3 linked regions of the Schizosaccharomyces pombe genome follow. The protein of the gene in region 3 purifies or fractionates together with the protein of the main gene of each other region. This does not show direct contact. Each region holds a gene or a part of one and is shown on either strand. Other genes may lie near its edges. The genes, in order: myp2, alp6 and mto1.

Region 1 (11,791 bases), on a different chromosome or scaffold from region 3:
ATTTGTCCAACTTATTGGGGTTTTCATTAATTAATTAGTTTTCTGTAATTAAGCCACGCTTAGGCTCTATAATTTTAGACTTGTTTTAATTTCGTTTAATTGTATTTAATAAACAGCGAACTAAGAGTTCTTTTCCTCCGAATTTATATACGACATTTAGAAAGATTCCGAACAAAAGCAAGAGCATTAAGTATTCTTTTTCTTTGTACTTTCGCCCATCCTAATTTGCAAATTAGGAAATTACAAAACGTTATCGTAGACTGAAGAAGTACACTTCTATTCCTGTTCGTTAGCACGTTTAGTGGTGTTGCGATGCACTGGATTTATCACTAATCATTTTGTACTTCAGGTTTTAATTGTTCAATAGTCGAATTAGAGGTAGTCAATTATACGTTATCAGAATTTGTTTATTAAACATTTATGTCTTCATTACATTGCTTATACGACGGATAATAAAACAGGCTTAAAAACTCCTATTCATATGATGATACTCATAATATTATGAAGTGCATTAGAAGAAGTTACTCGTGTCCAGCGCCAGTTTATTGTGTTTCAAATTTATACCTCGTATAATGCGTTTTGTTCTGGTGGGCATAGATAATCTGCATATATAGATATTAAAATATGATGAATACTTACCAGTCAAACTATTGGAAACAAAAAAAATAAGTAAATTTAACTTACAGCTAAATAATGTAAACATACCCATCTTAGTTGTAAAGCTCGTCAAAAACAATTTAGTGAGTTTTACTGAAGGCCGAAGCATTTTTTGCATAGTATAAAACTAACAATCGCGAGAGCATTACTCTGTAGTAAGGCCAAGAGTTGCAGCATTTATGAATTAATATAAATACAACGTCTCTTTTAAATGTTATGCTTCTCTTTGGCAGCATTTTTTGTTCTTTTTAATACTTTTGTATCATTATCCTTCTAATAGAGTTAAAAAATAAATCTATGCGATTTTTTGCTAAAAAACCGTTATTTTTTAGACAATGCTGAAAAAGGAGCAGTTAACTGTCGAATCAATTAATGATGGAATATCTAAAACGTTTAGTCAAGCATTCCGTTTCCTGGCTCATCATGAGTTACGCAAGAATAGAACTTTCATGCTTGATTTGGGAGTGTCGATTTTAAAAAAATTTTTAATTGATAGCAGGGATTATAAAGTAGAAGTTGTTCAAGATTTTTGCTCAAGGAGCTTAACGGATGAGTTTAAGTTTAAATTTACATCACAACCTATAGATTCAAAGTCAGAATCAGATTCTGCTTCTTACATTCGAAACTATTTGGGACCAGAAGGCATTAAACAATTTGGGGGCTCAAACTGGTGGCTTTATCGAAAGTCACCTTTAAAATCCTGGTGGATTGAAAGGCGACATCATATAAGGCACAATCTCAAATGTGATAAAGTTATTTTTTATGTTCATGGAGGTGCTCATTATTTAAGTACTGTTCGTACTAATGCTTATCATATTCAGCGTCATACTGCAGCTCTGGGTGCTAGAACCTTTGCTCCAGATCTGCGGTTAGCACCGCAATTTCCCTTTCCTTGCTCTTTGCATGATGTACTTTCATCTTATTTGTATCTACTTAAAAGCACCAAGCCAGAAAATATAATATTTATGGGCGATAGCTCAGGTGCTGGTTTAATCGTTGCATCACTAGTTTTGATTAGAGATTCAAAATTACCCTTACCTGCTGGAGTAGTTTATGATTCCCCTTGGGTTGATTTGACTCATAGTCTTCCTTCTGTAGTTGCAGATGATGCTGCTGACTATATTCCAAGCGAAGGATTTCATCACCGAGCCAGCAGATATTGGCCCATTACTAACTTAGATTCTTTCTCAACGATATCCGAAAAGGAATTACTAAATTATTCCAAGAAACAAGAATTGACTAACTTTATTGAAAACAGCATACGTAAAAAAATTCAGACCATCAAAAATTTGATCCCCGTGTTGCAAGAGATGGATAAAGAACATGCACGTATTGATTTTGACAATGTGGACTCTCGTTTAGACCCTAACATTTTGACTACATTTCCTTTTCAAGTACAGTTTTATACCTCTAATGCAAATTTAAAGCATCCTCTGATCAGTCCTATCTTCACTGAAAACCTTGGTGGTTTACCGCCGTCACTTGTTCTGGGTGGATCGGGCGAACGCTTACGAGACGAAATAGTGTACATCGCTCACAAAATGAATACAGACGTATACAATGGTAAGCGTACAAAGGTTCGTTTGGAAATGTACGATGATTGTTGTCATGTCGTTACAGCTCTTCCTTTTGTAAAAGAAGCTGGGATTATGGTCCGACGTGCTGCTAATTTTGCTTATTGGTGTTTAAAGCAGCATGATTCGTCTTTTGTATCGCCTAATAAACACCTTGATGGTAATCCGTCTCATGCTAATGAAGATATGGTTCGTTTAAGAATTTCGCGAAATGGTGAGGAACGATTGATGGAGCCTAAAGATGAAATTCAATGTTTAAATTTACCGAAAAGTGCTTTAGGTACTATACAGGTGAAAGCACTCATTCGCTGGATTGACGTTGAATTAATCTTGCTCAGTAAAGACACTAAAAAGCCAGCACGGTACTTCGCTGAATTTAAACACGCCGATTTAAATGGGTATTTAGTCAAGCCCAAAGAGTATACGATGGAAGGGGAAAATCCTCCACTTTCTGCCTTGGTAGCTAACTGTAAAATTAGCCCCGAAAAAAAACAATAATTGCCTGAGACTTGTTTTCATTCTTTTATTTTATCTCTTCTCGATTTCCTTTTTCGTTGAAGTTGAGTTCTTTAGTTATTCACTTTACTTCAACTTATTTATTTTATCAGAAGATTACTAAGGGATATCCACATACGTGCCTAATATCCTGGCAAAAGACGACTGGCTTACTACATTTTAACAGGTATAATTTATTGTTTAACCATTTATAAGTATTCTCTTACATAGTATTGTAAACAATCCATTTGTATTTCGTTGCCATAGTAACATTCATAAATATTTACATTGCTGCGCAGTCATGATTTATACAGCTGCAGCATTGCCAATGTGTTATACTTCTTAATTTAATGTCGTATCTTTCAAAAAATGGCTCTAACGACAACAATAATATTATCAAAAAGCTAGTAGATGCTGAAAAACATTGCAATGCCGTGAAAGACGCGTCTTTTGATGAACGGACATGGATCTGGATTCCTGATTCGAAGGAATCATTCGTGAAAGCTTGGATAGTTGAAGATTTAGGAGAAAAATATAGGGTGAAATTAGAAAGAGATGGCTCGGAAAGAATTGTGGATGGATTTGATGCTGAAAAAGTAAATCCACCGAAGTTTGATATGGTTGATGACATGGCTGCGTTGACATGTCTCAACGAACCATCAGTAGTTAACAACCTTACTCAGCGTTATGAGAAAGATTTAATATATACCTATTCAGGCTTGTTTCTCGTTGCTGTAAACCCCTATTGTCATTTACCAATTTATGGCGATGATGTTGTGCGAAAATACCAATCTAAACAGTTTAAAGAAACTAAACCCCATATTTTTGGAACAGCTGATGCCGCATATCGAAGTTTATTAGAAAGGAGGATCAATCAATCTATTTTAGTTACTGGTGAATCAGGAGCTGGAAAAACTGAAACTACTAAAAAGGTTATTCAGTACCTAACATCGGTCACTGATGCTTCCACAAGCGATTCTCAACAGTTGGAGAAGAAAATCCTTGAAACGAATCCTGTGTTGGAGGCTTTTGGGAATGCTCAGACTGTCCGGAATAACAACTCATCCCGCTTTGGCAAGTTCATACGAATTGAATTTTCTAATAATGGAAGCATCGTTGGAGCGAATTTAGACTGGTACCTTTTGGAAAAATCTCGCGTTATACATCCTTCCTCCAATGAACGCAATTATCACGTCTTTTATCAACTACTTCGAGGTGCTGATGGATCATTGCTTGAAAGTCTTTTCCTTGATCGATATGTTGACCATTACTCATATTTAAAAAATGGTCTCAAGCATATTAATGGAGTCGATGATGGCAAAGAATTTCAAAAATTATGCTTTGGTCTCAGAACTTTGGGGTTTGATAATAACGAAATTCACAGTTTGTTCTTAATTATAGCTTCAATTCTTCATATAGGAAATATTGAAGTAGCATCTGATCGTTCGGGGCAAGCTAGATTTCCTTCCTTAACGCAAATTGATCAATTATGCCATTTACTCGAAATCCCTGTTGATGGATTTGTTAATGCAGCTTTACACCCAAAGTCCAAAGCTGGACGAGAATGGATTGTGACGGCAAGAACACGTGAACAAGTAGTCCATACACTACAATCCTTAGCCAAAGGCCTTTATGAGCGTAATTTTGCGCATTTAGTGAAACGTCTGAATCAGACTATGTATTATTCTCAGTCTGAACATGATGGGTTCATTGGGGTTTTAGATATTGCTGGGTTTGAAATTTTCACTTTTAATAGTTTTGAGCAACTCTGTATTAATTTTACAAATGAAAAGCTTCAGCAATTCTTTAATCATTACATGTTCGTTCTGGAACAAGAAGAATATACACAAGAACGCATCGAATGGGATTTTATTGACTACGGAAATGATTTGCAGCCCACCATAGATGCTATCGAAAAATCTGAGCCCATTGGTATTTTTTCTTGCCTCGACGAGGATTGTGTTATGCCAATGGCTACTGATGCTACATTCACAGAAAAACTTCACCTTCTTTTTAAGGGTAAATCCGATATATACCGTCCTAAAAAGTTTTCTAGTGAAGGCTTTGTTTTAAAACATTATGCTGGTGATGTCGAATATGATACCAAAGATTGGCTGGAGAAAAACAAAGATCCTCTAAATGCATGTCTTGCCGCACTAATGTTCAAATCTACTAACAGTCATGTGTCTTCTCTTTTTGATGATTATTCGTCAAATGCTAGTGGTCGAGATAACATTGAAAAGAAAGGAATCTTTCGTACTGTGTCGCAGCGTCATAGGAGACAGCTTTCTAGTCTTATGCACCAACTCGAAGCAACTCAGCCTCACTTTGTCAGATGCATTATTCCAAACAATTTGAAGCAGCCTCACAATTTGGATAAATCTCTCGTTCTTCATCAACTTCGATGCAACGGTGTACTGGAGGGTATTAGAATTGCTCAAACTGGATTTCCAAACAAACTATTTTATACAGAATTTAGAGCTCGTTATGGGATTCTTTCGCAGTCATTAAAGAGAGGATATGTCGAAGCAAAAAAGGCAACAATAACGATCATCAATGAATTAAAATTACCTAGTACCGTATACCGTTTGGGTGAAACAAAGGTATTTTTTAAAGCCAGTGTCTTGGGTTCTTTAGAGGATCGCAGAAACGCTTTACTGCGGGTGATATTTAATTCATTTTCAGCTCGCATTCGTGGGTTTTTGACAAGACGGAGACTTTACCGGTTTAATCATAGGCAAGATGCAGCTATCCTTCTACAGCATAACTTGAGGCAGTTGAAGTTATTGAAGCCACATCCTTGGTGGAATCTTTTTCTGCATCTTAAACCGTTATTGGGAACAACCCAGACTGATGAGTATTTAAGAAGAAAAGACGCACTCATAAATAATTTACAGAATCAATTGGAAAGTACCAAGGAAGTTGCAAACGAATTAACTATTACCAAAGAACGAGTCTTACAATTGACTAACGATTTGCAAGAGGAACAAGCTCTGGCACATGAAAAGGACATTTTGGTAGAAAGAGCCAATAGCCGGGTTGAAGTTGTTCATGAGAGACTGTCAAGTTTGGAAAATCAAGTAACTATTGCTGATGAAAAATATGAGTTTTTGTATGCAGAGAAGCAAAGCATAGAGGAGGACCTTGCCAACAAACAGACAGAAATTTCTTATCTTTCCGATTTATCATCTACATTGGAGAAAAAGCTGTCTTCAATTAAGAAGGACGAGCAAACGATTTCTTCTAAATATAAAGAGCTTGAGAAAGACTATCTGAATATCATGGCGGATTATCAACATAGTTCGCAGCATTTATCAAATCTTGAAAAGGCTATTAACGAAAAGAATTTAAATATTCGCGAATTGAATGAGAAACTCATGAGACTTGATGATGAGTTACTATTAAAGCAACGAAGTTATGATACAAAGGTTCAAGAATTAAGGGAAGAAAACGCAAGCTTAAAAGACCAATGTCGTACTTACGAATCTCAATTAGCAAGTCTTGTTTCCAAATACTCAGAAACAGAAAGTGAATTGAATAAGAAGGAAGCCGAGTTAGTTATCTTTCAGAAGGAAATCACGGAATACAGAGATCAACTTCATAAAGCTTTTCAAAATCCTGAGAAAACTCATAACATTAATGATGTAAAAAGTGGCCCCTTAAACAGTGATGAGAATATTTATTCTACTTCTTCGACCACGCTTTCAATTTTGAAGGATGTTCAAGAGCTTAAATCATTACATACGAAAGAAGCAAACCAGTTATCTGAACGGATTAAAGAGATAAGTGAGATGCTTGAGCAAAGTATAGCGACTGAAGAAAAGCTTCGTAGAAAAAATTCTGAACTATGTGATATAATTGAGGCCTTAAAATACCAAATTCAGGATCAGGAAACTGAAATTATCTCTTTAAATGCTGATAATCTGGATTTGAAAGATACAAATGGTGTTTTGGAGAAGAATGCTAGTGATTTCATAGACTTCCAAGGTATAAAAAGCCGTTATGAACATAAAATTTCAGATTTACTGAATCAGCTTCAGAAGGAAAGGTGTAAAGTTGGGCTATTAAAACAAAAAACAGAAAATCGGTCAGTTACACAACACACTTTAGATGGAAATTCTCCACATCCATCATTTGAAGAGAAACATTCAGGTGATCCTCTAAAACGCATTGATGGTAATAACGATGATCGAAAAATTGACAATAAATTATTGAAAACAATTAGTAAAAGCCTTGATGCTTTGCAACTAACCGTTGAAGAAGAACTTAGCAATCTGTATTCCCTCTCTAAGGATTTATCTTTTACTGACATTTCGGGACACATACCAAACTCTATTAGGAAGCTTGAAAAAGGGTTGAGTACTTTATCAGAATTAAAGGAACGTCTCAATGCATCAAATTCTGACAGACCTTCCCCGGACATTTTTAAAGATACTCAAGCTATCATGAATTCTCGGAAGCTATTAAGCAATCCTAATTCTGATGCTCAAAGTGGTTTAATATCATCATTGCAGAAAAAGCTTTATAATCCTGAATCTAATATGGAATTTACTGGGCTGAAACCTTTGTCTCCAAGCAAAATCAGCAATTTACCCTCTTCTCAACCCGGCTCACCTTCAAAGAGATCTGGCAAAATGGAAGCACTGATTAGAAATTTTGATCAAAATAGTAGTATTCCTGATCCCTTTATCGTTAATCAACGGAATTCCGTGCTTCAAACAGAGTTTGAAAAAATCAATTTGAAGTTAAAGGAAGCTACAAAGTCTGGAATCTTAGATAACAAAGATCTATCAAAATTTTCGGAACTTATACAATCTTTGTTAAAAGAAAATGAGGAACTTAAAAACTTAACTACTAGTAATTTAGGCAGTGATGATAAAATGCTTGATTTTGCTCCATTACTTGAAGATGTTCCAAATAATACTAGAAACCAAATCAAAGGTTTTGTGGAAAAGGCAATATCATCGAAGCGAGCTATTGCAAAGTTATATTCGGCAAGCGAAGAAAAGCTGTTTTCAACGGAAAAAGCTTTAAGAGAGATAACCAAGGAAAGAGATCGTTTGCTTCATGGGTTGCAAGGACCTTCTGTTCCTACATCTCCTTTAAAGGCTCCCACTGCTTCTCAATTAATAATTCCCAATTTTGATGGTAGTATAACTAATTATTCTGGAGAAGAAGAAACCGAGTGGTTGCAAGAAGAAGTTAATATAATGAAGATAAAGGAGCTTACTTCTACAGTTAACAAGTACCGCGAACAGCTTGCGATGGTCCAGTCACTCAATGAGCATGCAGAATCTTCACTTTCTAAAGCTGAAAGGTCTAAAAATTATCTTACCGGGCGTTTACAGGAAGTTGAAGAACTCGCTCGCGGATTTCAAACAACAAATGCTGATCTGCAAAACGAACTGGCAGATGCTGTCGTGAAACAAAAGGAGTATGAAGTTCTTTACGTTGAAAAGAGCAACGATTATAATACTTTGCTGCTGCAAAAAGAAAAACTGATGAAACAAATTGATGAGTTTCATGTCATTCGTGTTCAAGATCTCGAGGAACGAGAAAAGAAGGATCAACTACTCTTTCAACGTTATCAAAAGGAGCTAAATGGTTTCAAAGTACAGTTGGAAGAAGAACGTGAGAAGAACTTGCGCATTAGACAAGATAATCGGCACATGCATGCGGAAATTGGTGATATCCGTACCAAATTTGACGAATTAGTTTTGGAAAAGACAAATTTGTTAAAAGAAAATTCAATACTTCAAGCAGACTTACAATCTCTTTCTCGTGTCAATAATTCTTCCTCAACAGCGCAACAAAATGCCCAAAGCCAACTTCTTTCTTTGACTGCACAACTCCAAGAAGTACGAGAAGCAAACCAGACATTAAGAAAAGATCAAGATACCCTTTTAAGAGAAAATCGAAACCTTGAGCGAAAACTTCACGAAGTTTCAGAGCAATTGAACAAAAAATTCGATAGTTCTGCAAGACCTTTTGATGAAATTGAAATGGAGAAAGAGGTATTAACACTCAAGAGTAACCTTGCTCAAAAAGATGACTTACTATCATCATTAGTTGAACGCATAAAACAGATCGAAATGTTTGCGCTAAAAACTCAAAAAGATAGTAATAATCATCGAGAAGAAAATCTTCAACTGCATCGTCAACTCGGAGTTTTACAAAAGGAGAAAAAGGATTTGGAGCTCAAATTGTTTGATTTAGATCTTAAAACTTATCCCATATCAACATCAAAGGACGTCCGAATGCTACAAAAGCAAATATCAGATTTGGAAGCATCGTTTGCTGCTTCCGACATCGAACGAATTAAAGGAATTGATGAATGTCGCAATCGCGATAGGACTATCCGTCAACTGGAAGCTCAAATATCAAAATTTGATGATGATAAAAAGAGAATACAGAGCTCAGTTTCTCGTTTGGAGGAAAGAAATGCGCAACTGAGAAATCAATTAGAAGATGTGCAAGCTTCAGAAACACAATGGAAATTTGCACTACGTCGGACGGAACATGCTCTTCAAGAAGAGCGTGAACGCGTCAAAAGTTTGGAAACCGATTTTGATAAATATAGATCTTTGCTGGAGGGTCAAAGAGTAAAGAGAAGTGAAAGTAGATTATCCATGAGGTCCAATCGTTCGCCTAGCGTTCTAAGGTAGCCAAGCTTCCCAAAGACTCGACATGTATTTTTTAAGATGATGTAAATTATTAGTTCATGAATTTAAAATTATTTTATTATTACTATTATTATGCTCTGCGTCAACGTAACAAGTAACCACAAGGATACTTTAGTTCAAAAAAAAAAGTAAGTCGGTCAAGTAAAAGGCATTTTAGTTCGGTTTACTTTTTATTTTACCCCTATTATTTGTACAATGGTTATATGCAGCAATCACATTGTAAAAGAAAACTATGAAGAGATAGGCGGCGATATTAAATGTAGAAGAGCTCTTGCATAACAGCGGCACAAATATAAATACAAATACAAATAAAAGAAGAGGACATTTACAATTACACTTTAACATTGTAAGTTGGAAGAACATCACAAAAAAATTTCATTCAAGTATAAAAATTCTAAACGTGATTCAGTGGCTTGCATTATAAAATATTTATTGTCATAACAATCATTATAAACTGTTTGTAAAGAACAATCATAAAAGGAGCAAACGTTTTCAAAAAAATAAAACAATTACTCGATGTATTGAAAATCAAACACCGACTTATTGAAAACATCGAATGCATCCAACATGAAGTAAAATCTATTCTTGAGCACCATTGAAAGCGAGAAGGTTAATAGTGCTGCTACCAACAGGAATAGACAAGAGTACATCGTGAATACCCATCTTAATGATAGCATCTTTAACTTCGCTAGCGCTGGCAGCAGGGTGTAGGCCAAGGTAGTAAGCGGACAAACCTGCAACATGAGGGGTTGCCATAGAAGTACCAGAGATGGTGTTAGTACTAGTATTTGAACCGATCCATGTAGACAAAATGTTAAGTCCAGGAGCGAAGATGTCAACACAGCTACCATAGTTAGAGAAGTAGGCCATTTGGTCGTTTATAGTGGAAGCGCCAACGGTGATGGCTTTCTTAGAAGCAGCAGGAGATGAATAGCAAGCGTCATCATACTCATTTCCAGCAGCAACGGCATAAATAACACCGTTGGTAACGGCAGAATCAACAGCCATATCCAAAACAAAGCTGTTGCCGCCACCAAGAGACATGTTGCCAACAGAGGTTTTCTTGCCGGACGATTTGTGATGACGAACAGTCCACTCAACACCGGCAATCACATCAGCCATGGTACCAGATCCACTGGAACGGAGAACCTTGACAGCAACGATTTCAGCCTTCTTTGCAACACCATAAGCACGGCTAGCAATGGTACCAGCAACATGCGTACCATGACCATTGTTATCCTCATCAACATCACCAGAGGGAATGGTTGCACCCCAAGAAGCGCGACCTTCGAACTCAACATGATGAATGCTTACACCGGTATCTACAACATAAGCGGTGATGTTGTCACCAGCGCTGGAATCGTAAACATATTTGCCAATATCATCGTATTTGACGGATTTGTGAGAGATGCGAGCAAGTCCCCAAGGAGCGCCACTTTGAGTTTCAAGTTTCTTAATGCTGACAACTTGATCACGCTCGACGGCGATGACATGAGGATGCAAGCGAATTTGCTCAACAATGTTAGAGCTGAATTGACCAGAATAACCTTTGAAAGAGTCCTCGCCAAAGTCATAAACATGCTTCAAGCCAAACATGTAATTACTATCACTAGTATCGTAGTACTCATCTTCTTGAGAAGCAATGTCCATTTGGTGCATCTCCGAGACCCAATTAGTATGGGCTTGGAATTCTTGTTCGCTCAAATCAGGCTGCAAAACAATGATATAGTGAGAGTCCAGTCCAGTGGTATCGGCGTTGGAAGCAGACAAGAGAGGAGCGGCATTAGGACCAGCATGAGGTTTGTGCTTAGGGGTAGCGGCTTCGCCGTGGGAGTCGTAGAAAGCGTTATCGAGCTCAGGACGGATACCAGCATGGGCAATGTCCGAATCAGTCGCTGGCATCACTGGTGCAGCACAGGCAGTAGAAGCGAAGAGGGCCAAACCTGCGGCGGCAGAAAAAAGATTTGAATAAGGAATTCTCATGTTGATGCTGAGAAGACGAGGCTGTTGGAGGGGGAAGTGATTGTGATTGTGGTTGGGGTAGTGATTGAAGGCGGTTAAATTGCTGAGATTGCTGAACAGTAGGCAAGTATCGTTGTTCCGTGTTTACTTATGAAAGAAAGACAAGGAAAACAGATGACAAAGACTATTGAAAAACTAACTATCTATCCCAAGTTCAGATAGGAAGAAATCGAGAGAGATGAATAAAAGAAAAAAAAAAAGAATTGTGGGCTATATACAAACTATAGTAAGTAGTATATGGGCGAACAATGGGATTAAGAGTTATTATAAAGAAAGGGAGAAAGAAACTATAATAATTCTCTAACAATTACTTTAATAAAATAAAAAATTGCAAGCAAATGAAAAACACAAAGCGAAAAA
Region 2 (9,447 bases), on a different chromosome or scaffold from region 3:
GGATAAAAGCTTGGGATCCTTGTGTGTTTGGAAAATCTCGATTACAGCCCTCAAAGAGTATGCGTTTTAACCCCAGATTTACTAATATCACTTCTGATAGTGATAGACCTGATAAACGGATTATGATGCTGACTGGACTGGCAGGTGCAGGTAAAACGACTTTGGCTCATGTTATTGCTCATCAGGCTGGATACAAAGTTTTGGAAATAAATGCTAGTGATGATCGTACTGCTCATACGGTTCATGAAAAGGTATCCTCTGCCATTAGCAATCATTCAGCCTTGTCATCTCAACCTACATGTGTTATAGTTGATGAAATTGACGGAGGTGATCCTGCATTCGTACGAGCACTTTTGAGTTTATTAGAGAGTGACGAAAAAGCGACTGAGTATTCTCAAGCTGGTAATTCAAAGAAAAAGAAAAAGTTTAAGAAACTTTGTCGTCCCATTATTTGCATTTGTAATGACTTATATACTCCAGCACTTCGACCTCTGCGACCATATGCTCAAATAATATATTTTCGACCACCTCCTCAAGCATCTCTTGTCGGTCGTTTAAGGACTATTTGCCGAAATGAAAATATAGCTGTTGACAGCCGCTCTTTGACTTTGCTGACAGATATCTATAATTCTGACATTCGAAGCTGTATCAACAGTTTACAACTTTTGTCTTTAAATAACAAACGTATAGATTCTGAGACCATAAAGCTTTTGCAACCAAAAAGTAATTCTTTTAGTACTTCTAGTTTAATCCAATCTCTTTTTTTACAACTTGATAATAAACAAATACGTGCAATTGAAGCATCGCAACCTACTTACTCACATTTGGACGCCCTCCTTGCAAGGATTGATGGAGCTAATGATTCTGAATCAGTCTTGATGAATTGTTTTCATACATACTTAGATCTTCCTTTTACTGATAGCTTACTTTCTAAACCTGCTTTGACAAGCGAGTGGCTTTACTTTTTCGACCAACTTCATTCACAATGTTATAAGGGAAATTATGAGTTATGGAGGTACATACCTTATTCCATTATTCATTTTCATTATTTGTATGCAACTCCTGAAAAGTGCCGCCTTCCGCATCCTCCCAGAAGTGATTTGGAAGCTTTAAAACTTTATCGTACTCGCAAAGAAATATTGGATTCATTCATATCGACGCTAAATGCTTATGAAAATCAAATGCATGGAGAAAGATCAATTCTTTTGGAACTTATCCGTACAATTTTAATTACCATAAATCCTACACTAAAACAGGTAAGGTCTATATATTTTAAAAAAAAAAAAAAAAAAAATTGCGTGAAACAATATTTTTTTAATTTACTAACTTTTTATAGAAAGAAGATTCTATGCCAAGGAGCGCTTTACCTTCTAAAATTGAGCATGCGATTAACATTTTAAATCATTATAATTTGCGTTTCCAACAGCTTCCCGTTGGAGATGGCAACTATGTGTATAGGCTTGAGCCGTAAGTTCCAATATTTTTATTTCTTTCTAGTAATAGCTAACGTTGACAGACCTTTGGATGAATTGGTTTGGGACGCACCTACAAGTTCATATTCTGTTCGTCAAATGCTATCTCAGGAACTGCTCAAGAAAAGGCTCGCAGACATTAAAAAACAAACCCTAACGGACAACCCCACTTCTTCGAATTCTTCAAGAAAGCGCAAAGATTTTAATTCCGGAAAAGCAATTAAGAGAGATTTTTTTGGCCGTATCATTTCTGAACCAAAATCTGAAGCAGTTACATCGAATAATGCAGCTTTGAATACAGGAGATCATCCAGTTTCCATCAAGCATGCAATCAATATCAAATTTCACGATGGGTTTTCCAATGCTGTGAGAAAACCAATATCGTTGAACGAGATTCTGAATTTCTAATCTAATGTGCATTAATATTTTTAATTTCAATCTTTTTGAAATAAAATCAATCATTTAATTTAAAAAAAAATCACTAGTAAAAATAGGTGTATGCGTAAATTCATCTAACCATTATTTCCTGACCGCGACTTCGGCGTGTACTTTGTCAATGGCTTTAAGATTTTGAGTTAACGATCAATACTTGTATTTCTCTATTTTAATTCAAAAATAAAAAAAATACTTTCGTCATTTGAAGTTCTCAAATGTCGGAGATTCATGTGAAAACTGCATTATCACGTCTGGCGGACAAGTATTTACAGAACTCCAAAAACCCTTCTGTCCCTTACACAATTGAAACGATCGTGTCTTTCTTTCAGGAAATAATTCACTCGTAAGCTAATTTCGTGTAAATGATCATGCTAACTGTTAGCATTTCTCCTGATACTTTTCAACTGGACATTGATGACATTCTGTACAAAATATATTCAAAAAGTATGTGAAGGTCTAAATACCAAAATTAACAGTTTTTTAGTTCCCCCCGAAGAAAACAATGATGCTTTATTTTCTAAATTATCTAACTTAGTTTCGCGTTTGAAAAGTCAAACGGTCATTCACAACAAATCTCAAATACTCTATTTCTTATACTTGCTCTCTCCTATTTCTCAGTCATCAAGAGATGTCTCCTCTCATTTATTAGATGAGTCTATTTCCAATCCTATCAATATTCCATCAACAGAAGTGGAATCCTCAAACTTTGGTCAGACACGTTACGATCAAGTTCCTGAAAACCCCCAAATTACTGATTGGGATGAAGGATTGGAAAATGAAAGTTCTATCTCAATTGCTCATGATTCATCTAGGCTAAACCGTAGTACTGAAACTTCTTCTGTTCAACATACTTTGATTACAGAAGCCGATTTGTTGTCTTCAATATCTTACGTACTTCAAGGAATTTCTACCGAATATGTTCAGTTTAAAAATGAATTAGCGCTGTTGTCTAAGAGAATACCTGTCCAATACCTTTTACAGATGCGAGCTCTTTCAGAGACAGGCTTATTATATCAGGAACTAAAGGTTTTCAGCAATTATGATCCTTCGGTCAGTCAATCCATTGATGGTGATAACGTTAGTAAAGCATTTATAAACGATCAGTCTTTAGCTTTACAAAGTTTAAAATCGGTCATTTCTAAAGAGCTGACTAATTTCCTTGCGTTAATTGCATCTCTGGATTCACAAATTCGAGCAGACGCTTCACTTGAGAAGCCTATGGTAACTATCCGGCGTTGCATTGCCTGGACGCAAGTTGCCAAGCTAAAACTTAGAATTTTGTCTTCAGTTGTTAATGATAATATGAACCAGGAGAATAAAAAAAGATTGATTCAAGTGGTTTCGAAATACAATGTGCATGGAGATCCGCTAATACAAGAATTGAGTGATAAAATACTAACAGAAATTACTGGACCTTTATACGAAATGATTGAAAACTGGATTTATAAAGGAGAATTGGTCGACCCTTATCAAGAATTTTTTGTTAAAGAAAAAAATGGTAGTGAAAGCCATGATCATCAAGGGCAAGGTGATGTCGTCTGGAAAGGTAAATATTTTTTAGACAAAGAGTTAATACCAAGTTTCCTTTCTGAAGAACTTGTCGACAAAATCTTTTTGATTGGAAAGAGTTTAAACTTCGCACGTTATGGATGTGGTGATTTTGACTGGGCACAAGAGCATTACCAGAAGCTAGTGAAAAAACTTAGTTATAGAGACCCTCATTCATTAGAAACAGTGGTTGATAAGGCGTATACTGAGTCCATTAATCACTTAGTATACTTGATGGAAGAGGTGTTTCATTTGACTGATCATTTAAAGGCTATCAAAAAATACCTTTTACTAGGACAAGGTGATTTTGTGGACTTATTAATGGAGAGCCTTGGTAATTCTTTGGATCAGCCGGCTAATACTTTGTTCAGACACAATTTGACTGCTTCTTTAGAAAGCGCCATTCGTTCAAGTAATGCATCTTATGAACCTGAATACGTATTAAAAAGATTGGATGCTAGGCTTCTGGAGCTTTCACATGGTGAAACTGGTTGGGATGTTTTTACGTTGGAGTATAAAGTTGATTCACCTATCAACGTAATAATAACACCATATTGCTCTAGACAATACTTAAAAATATTTAACTTTTTATGGAGGTTGAAACGAATTGAGTTTGCCCTTGCCCATTCCTGGAGGCGAGTAAATTTGGGCGAGCGAAATGTCTTCAGAAATCTGGATTACACAAAATTCGAATGGCATTTTGTCAGTTGTCATCTTGCGGAAATGATTCATTTTGTTTGTCAACTTCAATATTATATACTCTTTGAGGTAACGAAAAACCAAAACCCAATTTTGCATTGTATACTAACCATTGGAAACAGGTTATCGAAATTAGTTGGCAAGAATTACAGCTTGCTATGGAGAAACCAAACGCTACATTGGATACGTATATAGAGGCACATGAAAAATATGTTACTAGTATAACTCATAAGGGCTTGTTGGGTGGTGGTAAGTCAAGGAATGAAGATTCCTTCCTTCATCAGCTTCATGATATACTTAAAGTTATCTTAAACTTTCATGATGCAATTGAGTTGTTGTATAACTTTTCTTGCTCCCTGTCGAATAGAATTCGCATTAATGTACCAATTTCGACTGATGCTTTGGCAGCTCAATACACCCCTATAAAAAATGAACTCTCAAATTTTACTGAGGAATTCCAGGTTCGACTTCAAAAATTATTACATGGATTAGCTTCCCATAAGGACCCAGAAATGCGCTTTCTTTCCGTTCGTCTCAATTATAACGAATTCTACGTTTCTCATAGACGGCGTCATGATAAGGATGTTACCAGTCAATAAATGAGGTTCATGCATGATTATTTAAACTTTTATTACTCGTAGTAAACTATAAATTTAGTTATTAATATTTAATGTGATTTAACTATCGTTCAGCGGTGCTGTTTAATTTGCCTTTGCCAACCACCAACACCACCCACCCATTTGGTTAACTTTTTTCAGCAACCACATATACGGATATCATGTCCGCGCCTGCTGGTAGACTTCAACCTCAGCGTTTTGCTGCTTTACCTAATCCCGTTACTGCTGAAAATAAATTTTGGCGGTCATTCAAGGTTCCTGTCGTTGCCAAGGAATATAGTGCTATCACTAGTATTCATTTTTCCGCTGAATCCCCTTATGACTTTGCAGTAACTAGTGGGGCTCGTGTACAAATTTATGGAGCTAGTTCAAGGTCTGTTAAAAAAACAATTGCTCGATTTAAGGATACCGCATATTCTGGTAACATTAGAAAGGATGGAAAACTTTTGCTTGCAGGAGATGCTACAGGACTTGTACAGGTAAGTCTACATTACCAAAAGCTTTGAAAGATAGTTGCAATTAAAACGTTGATAAGCTGCACATGGAATTTTGTTAGTTTAGTTTAGCTGATTGAAGCTGTCATTTGCTAGTATATAGCTAAAAAAATACCATTTTTCCGGTGTTTGTCAACGCTTTAAACTTACTTTAGAGGTTTTCTTGTTGCCATTGATTGCTAATGTACTTTCAGATATTTGATTTGTCAACTCGGAGTATTTTGCGTGCTTTAGACGCTCATCAGTTTCCAGTTCATGTTACACAATTTTGTCCTTATGCCAATACCACGTTTCTCTCTGGATCCGATGACAAAACTGTAAAGGTCTGGGACTTGTCAACTGGTGCCGTTCAGTATGATCTTTCTGGACATGAAGATTATGTTCGTACTGCTTCATGGATGAGTGCTACTAGACTTGTGAGTGGTGGATATGATGGTACAATTCGTTTATGGGATACTCGAATTGCGGACCCAGAAGTAATGTCTTTTTCGCATGGTGAAGCGATTGACGTTGTGCTTCCAATGCAATCTGGTAGCACTGTTATTTCAGCTGGTGGACCATCCATTAAAGTTTGGGATTTAGTGGCTGGAAGACAAACACCTACGAAGAAGCTGTCTAATCATCAAAAGAGTATCACATGCCTTGCCATGAACTCCGAGAATACTAGACTTTTGAGTGGTGGTTTAGACGGACATGTGAAAATTTATAACATCTCCGATTGGAAAGTTGTCCATGGCATGAAATATTCTGGCCCTATTTTATCTATGGGACTTTCTCCGGATAGCTGCAATTTAGTTGTGGGTATGTCGAACGGTACATTATCGCAACGGACTCGACGTATAACCAAGCAAACGAGCTCAAAAACTCCTTTCTTAGGGGGCGTCGGAAGTGCTTTTGGTGTAGTAGGTAAAAAGAAACAAATCTATAAGGGCGAGAACGATGAATTTTATGTCGAAGAGGCTAGACGTAAAAGACTTCGTCCTTTCGACAAAGCTTTAAAATCATTTTGTTACTCTGATGCTTTGGATATGGTATTGGAGAACGGATCACCTGTTCTTATCATAACTATGCTTATTGAGCTTCTTCATGTTGGAGGGTTACGGATTGCATTGTCTAACAGAGATGATTTATCTCTTACTCCTTTGATAAACTTCTTAAGAAAATATATAAGAGACCCTCGTTTCTCCGAAACTTTATGTATAGTTACTAGCACCATTTTAGATATATACGGAGCTGCTCTTGGGGGCAGCGTAATGGTGGAAAATGCAATTTCAAAGCTTCGTGAAAAAGTTGAGCAGGAAGTAGCGGTTACTCAAAGGGCAAATGAGTTGGTTGGTATGCTTCAGATGTTGTCTGCTTGACCAATGATTATGATATCTTAATGTGCGAGTTATACCTCAATTTGTGTGTTCTAACTAGCAACCTTTACATTATCGATATGATTCACTCAGATTGTTTATTAAAAACGGCGCCTTATTTGAGATTTTTAATTACAGCAATAACTGCCACCCTTTGCCGCTGGAATTGGTAAATATCAAAAAATTTTATTCAATGTTTGGGTGTTAATTTAAAGTATTCGCAGAAAAACAAAAACTTGGGATTTATGGCAGGTTAAGTGGTCTTAAAGGAAATAATTATTTATTAAAAAAAAGTAATTTTGTAGCTTGTTAAAAAGGATAACCGGATTTCATGTACCTAGAAGAGTAAATCAACCAAAAACATAATAACAAAAGTAAATTAATGAAAGATTCCATAGTATCATAATATTGGTGATGGAAATTATATAGATCGTAAAAGATAGTAAACGTTAAACCACTGCCAGCAGTGGTGATCTTAGGCATGTCATTCGAAACATCGCCTACAATTAAGAATTTGAAAGAATAGTGATGCTAGCCTTTGTTTGCAATTCTTCAATTAATTGGGATCGCAAGTATGGTTTCCCATTAACAATCCTGCTGAATGTGACTACTTGAATATTACCAAGAAGATTGATAGTGCACCAAGCAGGCAAAGCTTTTGAAAGCAACTCAATTGCTTTGGCACACTGGTCAGGTGATAAGCTTGATGATATCGACATTTGCATGCTTGTCACAATTTCAGACATAGAAAAAGATCGTTTAGTTGGCCAAGTGGAAAGCTGAACAAAAATGAGATCAATAATGCGGACAAATGAGACCTTTTCTTTTGCTAGAGTATGAACAACTAGGTTGTTTTTAAATTCTTCAGCTTTTTTTGCTTCCATTGCTTTTTGCTTTTTACGCACGCGATCGAACAGAGAAGATTGTCTCAAAGTTAACTGAGATGATGTTAGCTTACGCGATGAATTTTGAACAGATGAAGAACTTTGATGGGATTTCAAATTGATTTTTGAATTCACTGACTTTGACAAAGTGGACGAACTGTCAAGCATGCTACACGAGACTAACTCATTAGCATATTTTGCCGTGTTAGTAGTGAATTTTGGTTCTAGAGTTTGTGTGGGAATACGTAACTCGCGACTTGTTGATTTCTCCAAATTGAGCTTTCGAACTAGTGAACTTTCATTAACAGTATTCTTGGATAGACTGGGTAAAGCTTGTAACTGTTGAGCAGGAATCTCAGTTTCAGAACAATGCTCTAACAACCATTTTTCTAGTCTCCGTTTAAATTCAATGGAGCGGGAGAAGGCTTCAGGAAGATTCGCATTGCGAGGGTATGACAGTTCATATGTTGCAACACGCTTTCCTTGATGAATAGTAAAACATGGGGTAATAGCAAATGACTCTGGCCATACGGTTAAAATCTGAGCGAGATGAGTTATTTTTAAGGAGATTTTGGTGAGACCAGAGACTTTATTTTCTAACAGCACAAAGGTTGGTTTGGTATTGATGGAGAGGTGAAATTTTACACATATGTCGACTGCATTAAAGACCTTTTCTAAGAAAAGAACTGATTCATTTTTAACTGGGGGTAAAACCTCATTTTGTTCTAAAGACTCAGTGTCCAAGTTCTCTTTCAGCCTTTTAACAGCTGGTATTATTTGAGAATCCTCAGGATTTTTGGGTGGCTCAATAATGGCCGCATTCGACCTTTTTGATGAGGATCGAGTTTTACGGACAGAGAAGTTCAATTTTGTTTGCGATCCAGCGCTCATGATTTGAACACAAAATCCAAAAATAAGGATATTGTTGTCGTGACTATATAGGGCGCGACATTTCATTTATATCGAGGGTTATATTAAATTTGAGCGTGTCGCGTTTGTTGACGCGTCGCGTAGCTATCGTGTCGCGCTTGCTAACTAGTTCACATTTGTCCGACTAATCAGTTTATGTCTTACTTAGCCTATATGATTCAGTAGATTATATTGAATAAATAAGTTCCAACACTTGTACAAAATTCACAAAACAATTTTTTAACTACAGCTTTTCATTTTCCGAAGTTTTTATAGAATCTCTTATACGAGTTTAAAATTATTACAGGATGCATCGTTATATAAATTTTGAATAACTCCTTTGCTCTGCGAGATATTATTGAGTTGTTCGTTGTCGAAATTTTCAATAATATGTTACATGTCACAATGATTTCTGTATAATAAAGGTGTTGCACCAAGTTCAGGCTCTCTGAAAACAAACTTGTGTCAAATAGCCACTCGTCCACTTATGGTCTTCCATAAGTTGTACGAATTCAAAACTTTTAGTTAACTTTTTTACTATCAGTGGATAAGTTGCTATAATAAATGAATAAAAAGATGCCCTGTATGATTTCTATCGACTAAGTCTTTTCTATTTATACTGGGTAGAGTAACAATGTGACTCAAATATCTATAAGGACCGATTGAAATCAACCAAGTACAAATAGAAAAACGATTCTAAAATTACTGAGTATAAAAAACGAATTTCTCATCAAGGACCCTATTTTCTTTTTTCTTTGCTCAAGAAGTTATTAAGCTCTATTTTCGAAGGTTTTCACTCACTCGACAAGCTACATTGTGAGTTGGTACGACCGTGTTCCTCCATTTTTGTAAAGAATCGATGTCAAGCCAGGCGGATTGAAGAAACCTTGAAATGAAAAGAGGAAAATGTAAGGAAAAAGATAATGGTTTGAAGAGAATTTCTTCGGAATCGGAAGTTTGGAACTTTTTAGACGTGACAGTTTCAGAGTTAAACAAGCAAAAGCGCTCGCCAGGACAGACCGTGTCTAAAC
Region 3 (9,810 bases):
GTTAGCAACGTACTTAGCAATAACCTCCTCGTTGGTGGGGACCTTGATCTCACCGAGAACAGCCTTCAAAGTTTCGAGACAAACTTCAGGGTTGGCGGCGGTAGAAACCTCAGGGATCTTACCGTCAACAACGTTACCAACACGCTCTAAAGTGGTGATGGCACGTTGAACAACGGAACGACATTCAGGGTCACCAATGGTGTCCTTGATGTGGTACAAACCAGGCAAAAGCTTGGGCAAGAAAGGAGCGACGACTTGAGGATCCTCGACAAGCTTGGACATGTTGTCAATAATGACAGCAGTCTTACGCTTAATGGGAGTGGAACGCTCATTCAAACCACGGGCCAACAAGGGGACCATGATAGACAAAGTGGGGGCCTGGACTTCAGTAACGAAAGTAGTGGCACCCAAAGAGTGAATAGTCTCAGGGACCTCCTCGGGGTGAGCAATACAGTTGATAAGCTCAGGAATGAAACGGTCAATATCGGCGTTGGCAATCAAAGTACAGACCTTGGTCATGGTTTCCTTGGATTGCTTCTTAACCTCAGCCTTGGTATCCCACATGGACTCGGAAACAACAGGGATAATTTGAGGAAGGGAGTAGGATAATTGGGAAGGAGCAACCTCAACGAGAACATCCAAAAGTTGCAAAGAGTTCATCTTCTCATTCCACTTACCAGTGGTGTGGATGGACTCGAGAACAGAGGGGACGATGGCCTTGACGGCATAAGGGGTAGTGCAACGGACAATAGCCTTAGAAGCAGCAATGGCAGCATCTCTGACAGCGTTTTGCTTGTCAGCAACCTTGGCGATGACGGCGGGCAACAACTCGACCAAGTAAGGCTCGACATCAGCGGCAACACTACCATGGTTGGCAACGGCCTCAAGACCCTTCAAGACACGCTCACGAGCAGTGGCGTTCTTGTCGTTCAACTGCTTGGAAATAGCAGAGAAAACTTGAGAAGGCGCGTCTTGCTCTTCGATGGGTCCGTTGACAAAAGAAGCCAAAGCCTTGGCAGCATCAGCTTCCTCTGCGGCATCGCAGACAGTAAGGTGCTTCAACAACTCTTCAAGAGCTTTGACTGACTGCTTATTCTCACTCTTTGCAGACATCCCGGGGAAATGGTTGTTGGTAGATGAGCGGAGGTCCTGGTTGTATATGAATGGATTTTCTTAATGAAAATTTTGCAACTAAGAAAATACAGAAGGAGTACTTAAAATAAAATAATAATATGTTTTTATGTATTTAAATCTCATATTTACAATGTGACTGTTCTTTTTCTTTGGTTTTCTTCTTGGTGGTGGCCATAATCCACGGTTTCTTTGGCGGTGTTTAGTGGTTAGCGACGTGGAAAAACTATTAAGCGGCAAAATTAGAAGTCGCTAAATAAAATAACGTGTTTAGTGGCGGCGTCCTTTGTATGACGATATCATTGTAAATGTAAGGCTATATTAAAGATATCACTATAGATAAAGCATGCCATGAACAAATCGACGCGGTCCTTATGTCTCGTTAAACTAATACCACACTGCGTTGTTAAGAACGATTTTTGACGCTGTAACTCTTCTTTTCAACATATGTTGCTTGTAAGCTTTCCGTGGCTAAATGACCTCTGGCAATAATATGGTTTTGGTCGCATAACATGATGCAGTAGCACTAAATGAATTTAGCATAGGGTCGGCATAATCGCATTCAGATAGCTGCTGTCGGACATCATATTTTCAGAGTCAGAACTGTAATGATTGTATATTGGATCGTTATATACCCGCATCATTTATATAAGGTGAATATAGATATATCCTTCATTGAATTTCTATAAGTAAACTCAAATGAACTCCGTTTATGAGTTCATTCGCGAGTTAATTTAAGTGCATTCATAGTAATGTATTACATTATTACAAATATCTTAATACATATTTATAATCATTCATATTGCAATACGCGGGTCATAAAGGTCGCAACTGGGGTATAGTTATTCTGTTATACAGGTTATATTTTTACCTATCACTAATATAGCGTATAACTGATCCTCGTTCTTCATTTCAATTGTGCTTCCATTTGCATTATTCAGATAGTATAGAACTTATTATAATTTCATTAGGAACAATCGTAATATCGTATCATCTATGGTATAATTAGAATATGTAGCATATAGTGATATTCAGCGTTGTGTATCGCAGCGTATGTAATATTGCTGACACCTTAACCGATTTAGCAGAGTACGTAACTGACGAGTTTGAAGCAGTTTTTATGTATTACCATTTTTACTTAATAAAAATTATGTAGAGCGAGTGATGATGCCAAGTTTCTCTTTTATTTTGTAATAATCTATATTAGTAATATTTACATACCTGTCAACTTTTTTTTTCGCAAATTTTTTTAAACAATTTCATGGAATTAATGTTTGAAGAAAACATATCAGATCAATGATCAGCTTGAATAAAAAAAAAAATTGAAAAGAAAAGAAAGTTTTCAACTAGTTGGTTCATTCTAGTAAGTGATGATTGTAATTGATTTAAAAAAAAAAAAAATCCTTCGCTTAATAGAAAGAATGCTTTTCTTTGTTGTATTAAAAAAAATACTGAGTAGTATTAACTTAATTTACTTAGATAAATTAATTTACATATACTTATTTATTTATTATTATTTTTTTTCAGCTGCTCTACATATCTCAAGTTGATGAGTTGTAGAGGACTTTATTTTCGCATTCACTCAATTCAAGTTTCGAACACACTATGCAAATTAAAAATGTTCTCTTAATGAAAAGTATATTTGTTCGTATATTCATAGTTCAATTTACCGTTGCGATTGAAATCATCGAAATGTAGCATCATGTAACACGGTGAAAATAGAGACTGAAACAAATAATTTCAGGCTACATACCAACTATACGTAGGAAAGCAAATTTACGCTTGTTCGTGAAAACCTATGTACTCAAGCATAATCGTAGCGGACTTTAGTGTTTTTAACGTTTATTCCATCAATAATTAATATACTTAGGATTCACAGTGTGAAATGAGGTTAACATACCTTAACTTGAGGAGAGTTAATCTAATGAAAATCATAGTTACGTTTTACATATCATCAATGTATGTACTATTGTTTTGTGTATGTGCCATAGGCATGCCAAATAACATGGCTATTTATAATGTAAACGAGTGTGTGCAAATGTATAATTAATTTCATTAACTTCTTTTGAAAATATCTGCTTCTAACACAAACATTAAACCTTCTAAAATTGTAAAGTCCGCAATTACAAGTCTACTACTTTGTTGATCGTTAGTCTAACATGCGTCAAGTAGAGACAGCCATTGAGAACTACTGCCACTACATATATGCCATAGCGTATCAATAGGCATATCTTCGATCCCATACTTTCTTTTAACAATTAACAATTTAAGAAAGAATTAATTTCTTATTCAAAAATCGCTCCTTTGAAATTGTTACAAGAGTCAATGCCTACTGCTTTGGATTTGCTTATGTCGAAGTTCGTTTTCTAATCAATTATGGAAGAAAATTCCAGTGAGTTAGATAGTAATAACTTTAATGTTCTAGTGGATAATTTAGCTGGTCTTTCGCTGACGGACGAGGAAGTTCGTCGCATTTTATCACCCAGAAAGGAAGGATCTCGGCAATTACCCTCTTCTACATCAAAAGACGAAGATTCGGAAGAAGCTTCTCATAAGTATGATTTTGAAATTGATAGAGATTCTTTAAAATCTGATTCTGGATCACCTCGTCTCCATCAAAATGCTACTGCTCCAACGAGCTCTACTCCGCTTCAATCTCCCGATGAATCAGTCAATAAATTGAATAGCGAGGACGAGGAGGGAAATAGTTCTGTTGCACCTTTTTTTTTGGATACTACGAATTTTGATCGTCTCAATGACAACATTACTACTGATGATGAACAGCTTTCTCCCGTACTTACGGCTAATCAAGGGTTTCAGAGCCAAGAGCAGTATGAAGAAGATAGTTACAATAATTACGATTATACTTCGGACCCTTCAAGTCCGAACTATATCTCTTCTTCTCTAGATCAGTTACCTCATTTGGATGATGAAGATGATTTGCAATTAACCCCAATAAAAGAAGAACGAAATTATTTACATTCTCAAGATGCCCCCACTACCAATGCTTTAAGCAAAAAGATCTCCGATATATTGATACCGGCGTCTGCTATGAAAGACCTAAAAGACAGGAAAAATGCACTTGCCAAAGAGTTTGAGGAATCTCAGCCCGGCTCCTCCTTAACTTTAAAGGAACAAGCAAACGTGATTGATAATTTGAGAAAGGAAGTGTTTGGGTTGAAACTGAAATGCTACTTTCTATACGATCAATTAAATAAATTCCACGATCAGGAGGTTCAAGATATTATGAAGCAAAACATCGATTTGAAGACCCTTACTATGGAGCTTCAACGAGCCGTTGCAGGCTATGAGAAAAAAATATCTGGATTAGAAAGCCGGATTAAGCCTGATCAGTCTTTTAACCTTTCCACCCCCAGCCCGGCCCCTTCAAACCTAATTACTCTTCAATCGAGGTATTCGCAGGCTCTTTCAGAGCTTGAAACTACCAAAAGAGCGTTTGCGGCTTTGAGAAAAGAAAAATCAAAGAAGACGAATTATTCTGTTGGGGCATACAATGAAGATCGTAATGTACTGTCAAATATGCTTGATAACGAACGGCGGGAAAAGGAAGCTCTATTGCAAGAGTTGGAATCCCTTCGCGTACAGTTATCCAAAAAAGTTCCTATGCCTGCAAAAAATACTGATGAGCGTGTTATTGAAACACTTCAGCGTAGTAATGAACTGTTGAGGATGGACATATCTATGCAAAATGAAGCATTACTACTTCGCAAGCAGGAAAATGATCGCCTGGTTAAACAAGTGGAGGAGCTTACCGTTGCTTTGAATTCAGGGAAGATGAATGCGATTGTAGAGGCAGAATCAAGCAAGAATGAATTGTGGGATTCTATGATGGTATCTAGAATGAAAACCCAAGAGCAATCAATTGAACTTACTCGTTTATATAAACAGTTGCAAGATATTGAAGAGGATTATGAAAATAAATTGATGAGAATGGAGCAACAATGGCGGGAAGATGTTGACCAACTCCAGGAATATGTCGAAGAGATTACCCAAGAACTCCAGGATACCAAAGAGGTGCTGTCAAAGTCTTCAAAAGAGTCTGATGATTACGAAGAAGTAGTAGGTAAACTTAGGACTGAAGCAGAGCGTGAAATTGAGAAATTCGAGAAAACAATACGGGAAAATGAGGAGAGTATCTCTTTATTCAAAGAAGAGGTTGAAAAGCTTACTGATGAAATTACCCAATTGTCAGAACGTTATAACGATAAATGCCATGAATTTGACGAATTACAAAAGCGGCTGCAAACTTTGGAAGAAGAAAATAATAAAGCGAAGGAAGATTCAACTTCAAAGACATCAAATCTTCTTGAACAGTTGAAAATGACAGAAGCAGAAGTTGATTCTTTAAGGAAGGAAAATGAAGAAAACAAGCAAGTAATTGCTTTGAAAGAAAGCGAGCTGGTGAAAAGTAACGATAACAAACTTTTACTCAATGAGCAAATTGAGTCGTTAAATGATCAACTTAGTCAGTTAAAAACTGAAATGGAAAGCGTTACAACGAGTAAAGAATCGTTAGCCGATTATCTTAGCAACTTGAAGGAAAGGCACAATGACGAATTAGATTCATTAAATAAAAAACTTCGTGAATTTGAAGGTATATTGTCATCAAACTCTTCTTTAAAAAGTGAGATTGAGGAAAGAAATAATCAATACGTTACCCTTCGCGAAAATTTCGATTCTTTGCAGAATGCTATTATGGAAACATTTGATAAACAGGTCACCCACTGCTCGGTTAACCATTTGGTACAACAGATAAGAAAACTAAAAGATGAGAATAAAAAGGATCAGTCTGGTACTGATAAGTTGATGAAAAAAATCTACCATTGTGAGCAAAGTTTAAAAGAAAAAACAAACTCTTTGGAGACGTTAGTGTCTGAAAAGAAGGAGTTAAAGAACTTACTGGATGCGGAAAGACGATCCAAAAAAGCAATCCAATTAGAGTTGGAAAATTTGTCTTCACAAGCTTTCAGAAGAAACCTCTCTGGATCTTCCAGTCCTTCTGAAAGGAGTCAATCTAGAGAACTTAAACTTTTACAAGCATCTGAAAAACGCCTTAAAGAGCAAGTGGAAGAAAGAAATTCCCTCATAAAAAACATTGTCACTCGTTTTACCCAACTGAATACGGGAAGTAAGCCTGTAAATACCAACGTTGAAGCATTGACGACAATTTCAAGCATGAATCAGGCAGTAAATATGAATTTTAGGGAGTTGGACAAATCCATTCAAGAATTCAAACGGAAGTGTCAATCAATGGAGCGGGAATTTAAGACCGAACTCAGGAAGCTTGATGGTGTACTTGAGGCTAGAAGTAAGCGTTTATCACAGTTGGAAGAACGAGTGAAACTTTTAGGCGCTGGGTCAACTTCATCTATTCCAAATTCGCCAAGGGCTTCAAAACGCGTTAGTTTGGATTCCGAGGATAAAAAGCTTGTTCCCGCTTCTCCAGATAAGTCAGCAGTTCAAAGAGGTATCACAGCTTTGAAACGAGATGCTGAAGGAATGAGCCATATATGGCAGTTGAGACTAAGAGAGATGGAGTTTCAACTCAAGGCTGAGCAAGAAGGTCGTAAAAGAGACAAGTTGGGTGCCAGAGAAAGGCTTCAAGATTTGATTCGACAAAACAGGAGTCTTTCAAGGCAAATAAAAACGGATAAAGAAAGCAATTCTAGGTCTCCTTCTATATCATCACAAGAACATAAATAATAATCTGGATAGTTTGCGGTTGAAGTATATAGCTTTTCTTAATCACCAGTACATATCTACTTAGTTGGAGAATTTAATTGACAAAATAAGCTAATTCCAAGATTTATATTTATTTTTTATTTTTTTTTGTTCTCGATTAACCATTTTGGTGTTTGTATCTCCCTGATTATAAAGGAAATAATCACACATATTCGTAAAAAAAATTTATTTTAATCGCGCAAAAGAATTCGAAATATAATTTTTTATTTAACCTTTTTTAAGTAAATTTTACTGCGCATGTATCATCTTTGTAAAAATTCCCAGAACCCGGTGTTTGTTTACATTTGCTGGGAGAATCGAGTTTTATTCAGGCACAACGTGTACTCAAAATAAATTTCAAAATTGAGCTCACATAAACTTGAATAGGAGCAAAAAAAGGAAAGAATCCATTGCATGGAAAAAGCAATTCACTTGGGACAATTTTATAGAACGATTCCACAAACATAGAATGGACCTACTGGGCCTTAAAGAATTAGACAATAACAAACTAGTATCAAAGGCAAAAGAAAATGGAGTCGAATTTTCTGATTTATTTTTACTATCAAGCGGCTATTTACGAGACAGGGAAAATGCGTCAGCAAGTGTGTCTTCGAAAAATGAACGCATGGTGCTCAACGAAGAAAGACAAAATTGCTGGACGAAAAGAAATGATCCTAAAGGTTTAACTTACTACCAATTACTAAAGCCCAGTGAAGTTGAAATACTTAGTCGACCCGAGACAAGAAGAAAGCGGATGGCCTGTCAAGTTTTCTTCCTCAATTACTATATTAGCACAATTGAGTACCATAAACTAAGGAAGGAAAGATTGGAAGAATTTACAGCGTGTACATCGTCATTAAAACAATCTAAACAGAAGCGACTATGGAAAGAGCATTGTGGAAGGGAAAGAGCATTTTTGAGAAAAAAAAGAACCAAGATTCAATGTAGCCATTTCGATTTATTAGTAAAGCTTGGACAAGGAGGATATGGTTCTGTGTGGCTTGCTAAAAAGCGCAACACACACGAATTGTTAGCAATGAAAATGATGAAAAAATCAACATTACAGCAACTTAATGAAGTAAGAAGACACTATTAAAGATCTTAAAAGAAAACTAACAACGGCTCAGGTGAAACACATATTGAATGAAAGAGATATACTAACGAATACTAATTCCGAATGGCTTGTAAAACTGTATTATGCCTTTCAAGATAAGGAAAAAGTATATCTAGCAATGGAATACGTCCCTGGAGGAGATTTTCGAACTTTTTTGACTACCAAGGGGCTTTTGCATGAAAATCAAACCCGATTTTACCTAGCAGAAATGGTCGCTGCAATCAGTGCAGTCCACAAACTAGGTTATATGCATCGTGATTTAAAGCCCGAGAACTTTTTAATTGATCAAAAGGGACATATCAAGCTTAGTGACTTTGGGCTAAGTACTGCAATTGTTACATCGAATCAGGTAAATCGACTTCAACATGCACTAGTGAGCGCGGTTAATCCTCAGAGACCTTATTTAACACAAAAGCAAAGAAGAAACATTTATAAAGCGCTTTTGGAAAAGAATGAGAACAAGGTAAAGACATTTTGATTCAAACGTAAACTAAAAAAAAATTAGGTAAATTCCGTTGTTGGATCTCCTGAATACATGGCTCCAGAAGTTGTTTACGGAAAGAAATACGATAGGACCGTAGACTACTGGTCACTTGGCTGCATATGTTATGAATGTCTGGTAGGATATCCTCCCTTTTCTGGGTCAACGCTCCAAGAAACGTGGACTAATCTATACTACTGGCGAGAAATGTTGCAGAGACCCTCCAAAAATGAAAATGGAATTTACGACAAAAAAGCGAGATCGGTTTCAGACGAGGCATGGTCTTTCATCACCAAGTGTCTAACAGAACCAACGTCAAGATTTCAAAGCACAATCGAAATCCAAAAGCATCCATTTTTTAAGAGACTCCATTGGAACGGTTTGCGGAAAAGAGCTGTGCCACCATTTGTTCCCCGCTTGGAGAATCAACTTGATACTTCCTATTTTGATGATTTCAATGACGAACAGGTACTAGATGCGTACAAAGATGTGTACGAAAAGCAAAGGAAGGCAGAGCAAAAAGCAAAAAGCAATGGAGTTATGAACGGTAATCAAAGACAATTTCTTGGTTTCACCTTCAAGTATCGACCCAACGCAAGAAAGCCACTGGTGGGTCGGCATCGTGAAAAGCGACAACTTCGCAAAGAGAAACCGGAGAAGAAAAATAATAGCACTAAACAAAAGGATTTAATCACCGTTAGTCATAACAAAGGCACCACTGCTATTGAGGACCTGGATGAGGACAAGCGATCAAAAACAAAGGGTCACAAAACTAAGTCATCAAGAGTCCATCGGCTTCTGGAAAGAAAAGGCAAAGACCTGTATGAATTTTTGCTCTAAATCCAGATAATAACGCATCAATTACCATTGAGAAACGCCGAAAAGTCTCGTTATTGCGACATGAAAAGCGTTCTGAGCCACAGCATATTCGGAATCGATGAGCCAAGCAGCGTATTCCGCTCGAAACTAATCAGCATATTTCTCCATAAAAGGGAGATATGAATATTAATTATAAGTAAATAGTTAATTCTTGACTGTTTAGAGAGAACTGCATCCTTAATCCAGCTGAAAACCCACTAAAATTTTGAAAATTCTACTGTAAACGTATCTTTCTTGTAGGTAGATCAACCTGTACGCTTAAAAGTAGTTTATATTCAAATAAACTTTTAAGTCCGACGATATAACGTCGCTTCGTTAGCTTCATGACGTGACCCTCGGATCGAGTCATCAGTTTGACAGATAAATTTTTACCCTTCACCTATATCCAGTTGCAGCCTTGAATTCAATTTTCATTCCTCGCTCTTTGAAAGTGAAATAGAAGATAGAAGGCATTATAACCATT

Evidence for each region.
Region 1: the proteins of mto1 (region 3) and myp2 purify together in Schizosaccharomyces pombe (affinity purification with western blotting, with the first as the bait; one study listed by BioGRID). This does not show direct contact.
Region 2: the proteins of mto1 (region 3) and alp6 purify together in Schizosaccharomyces pombe (affinity purification with western blotting; 2 studies listed by BioGRID, with this or other methods). This does not show direct contact.

The regions. Positions count from the first base shown.
Region 1 is NC_003424.3:2,544,951-2,556,741, reverse strand, and holds myp2 (Myo3-like myosin II heavy chain myp2), read left to right. Parts: upstream 1-3,038; 5' UTR 3,039-3,076; coding exon 3,077-9,391; 3' UTR 9,392-9,482; downstream 9,483-11,791. Other genes in the region: SPOM_SPAC4A8.06C (esterase/lipase), read left to right, coding at 993-2,729; vacuolar serine protease Isp6, read right to left, coding at 9,989-11,392. UniProt on the Schizosaccharomyces pombe protein: Stabilizes the F-actin cables forming the F-actin ring that surrounds the nucleus during interphase. May work in conjunction with myo2.
Region 2 is NC_003423.3:476,382-485,828, reverse strand, and holds alp6 (gamma tubulin complex GCP3 subunit Alp6), read left to right. Parts: upstream 1-2,000; 5' UTR 2,001-2,122; coding exon 2,123-2,250; exon of another isoform or gene 2,251-2,289; coding exon 2,290-2,351; exon of another isoform or gene 2,352-2,391; coding exon 2,392-4,223; exon of another isoform or gene 4,224-4,276; coding exon 4,277-4,753; 3' UTR 4,754-4,881; downstream 4,882-9,447. Other genes in the region: Ctf18 RFC-like complex subunit Ctf18, read left to right, coding at 1-1,256, 1,337-1,467, 1,517-1,880; U3 snoRNP protein Utp15, read left to right, coding at 4,933-5,250, 5,460-6,626; DNA replication licensing factor Cdt1, read right to left, coding at 7,130-8,398; wpl1 (WAPL family protein), read left to right, coding at 9,309-9,447.
Region 3 is NC_003421.2:1,676,969-1,686,778, reverse strand, and holds mto1 (gamma tubulin complex linker Mto1), read left to right. Parts: upstream 1-3,507; coding exon 3,508-6,855; 3' UTR 6,856-7,018; downstream 7,019-9,810. Other genes in the region: tef3 (translation elongation factor eEF3), read right to left, coding at 1-1,113; mug27 (protein kinase Mug27/Slk1), read left to right, coding at 7,343-7,951, 8,001-8,450, 8,493-9,308. UniProt on the Schizosaccharomyces pombe protein: Spindle pole body (SPB) component that acts as the gamma-tubulin complex-binding protein of the SPB outer plaque.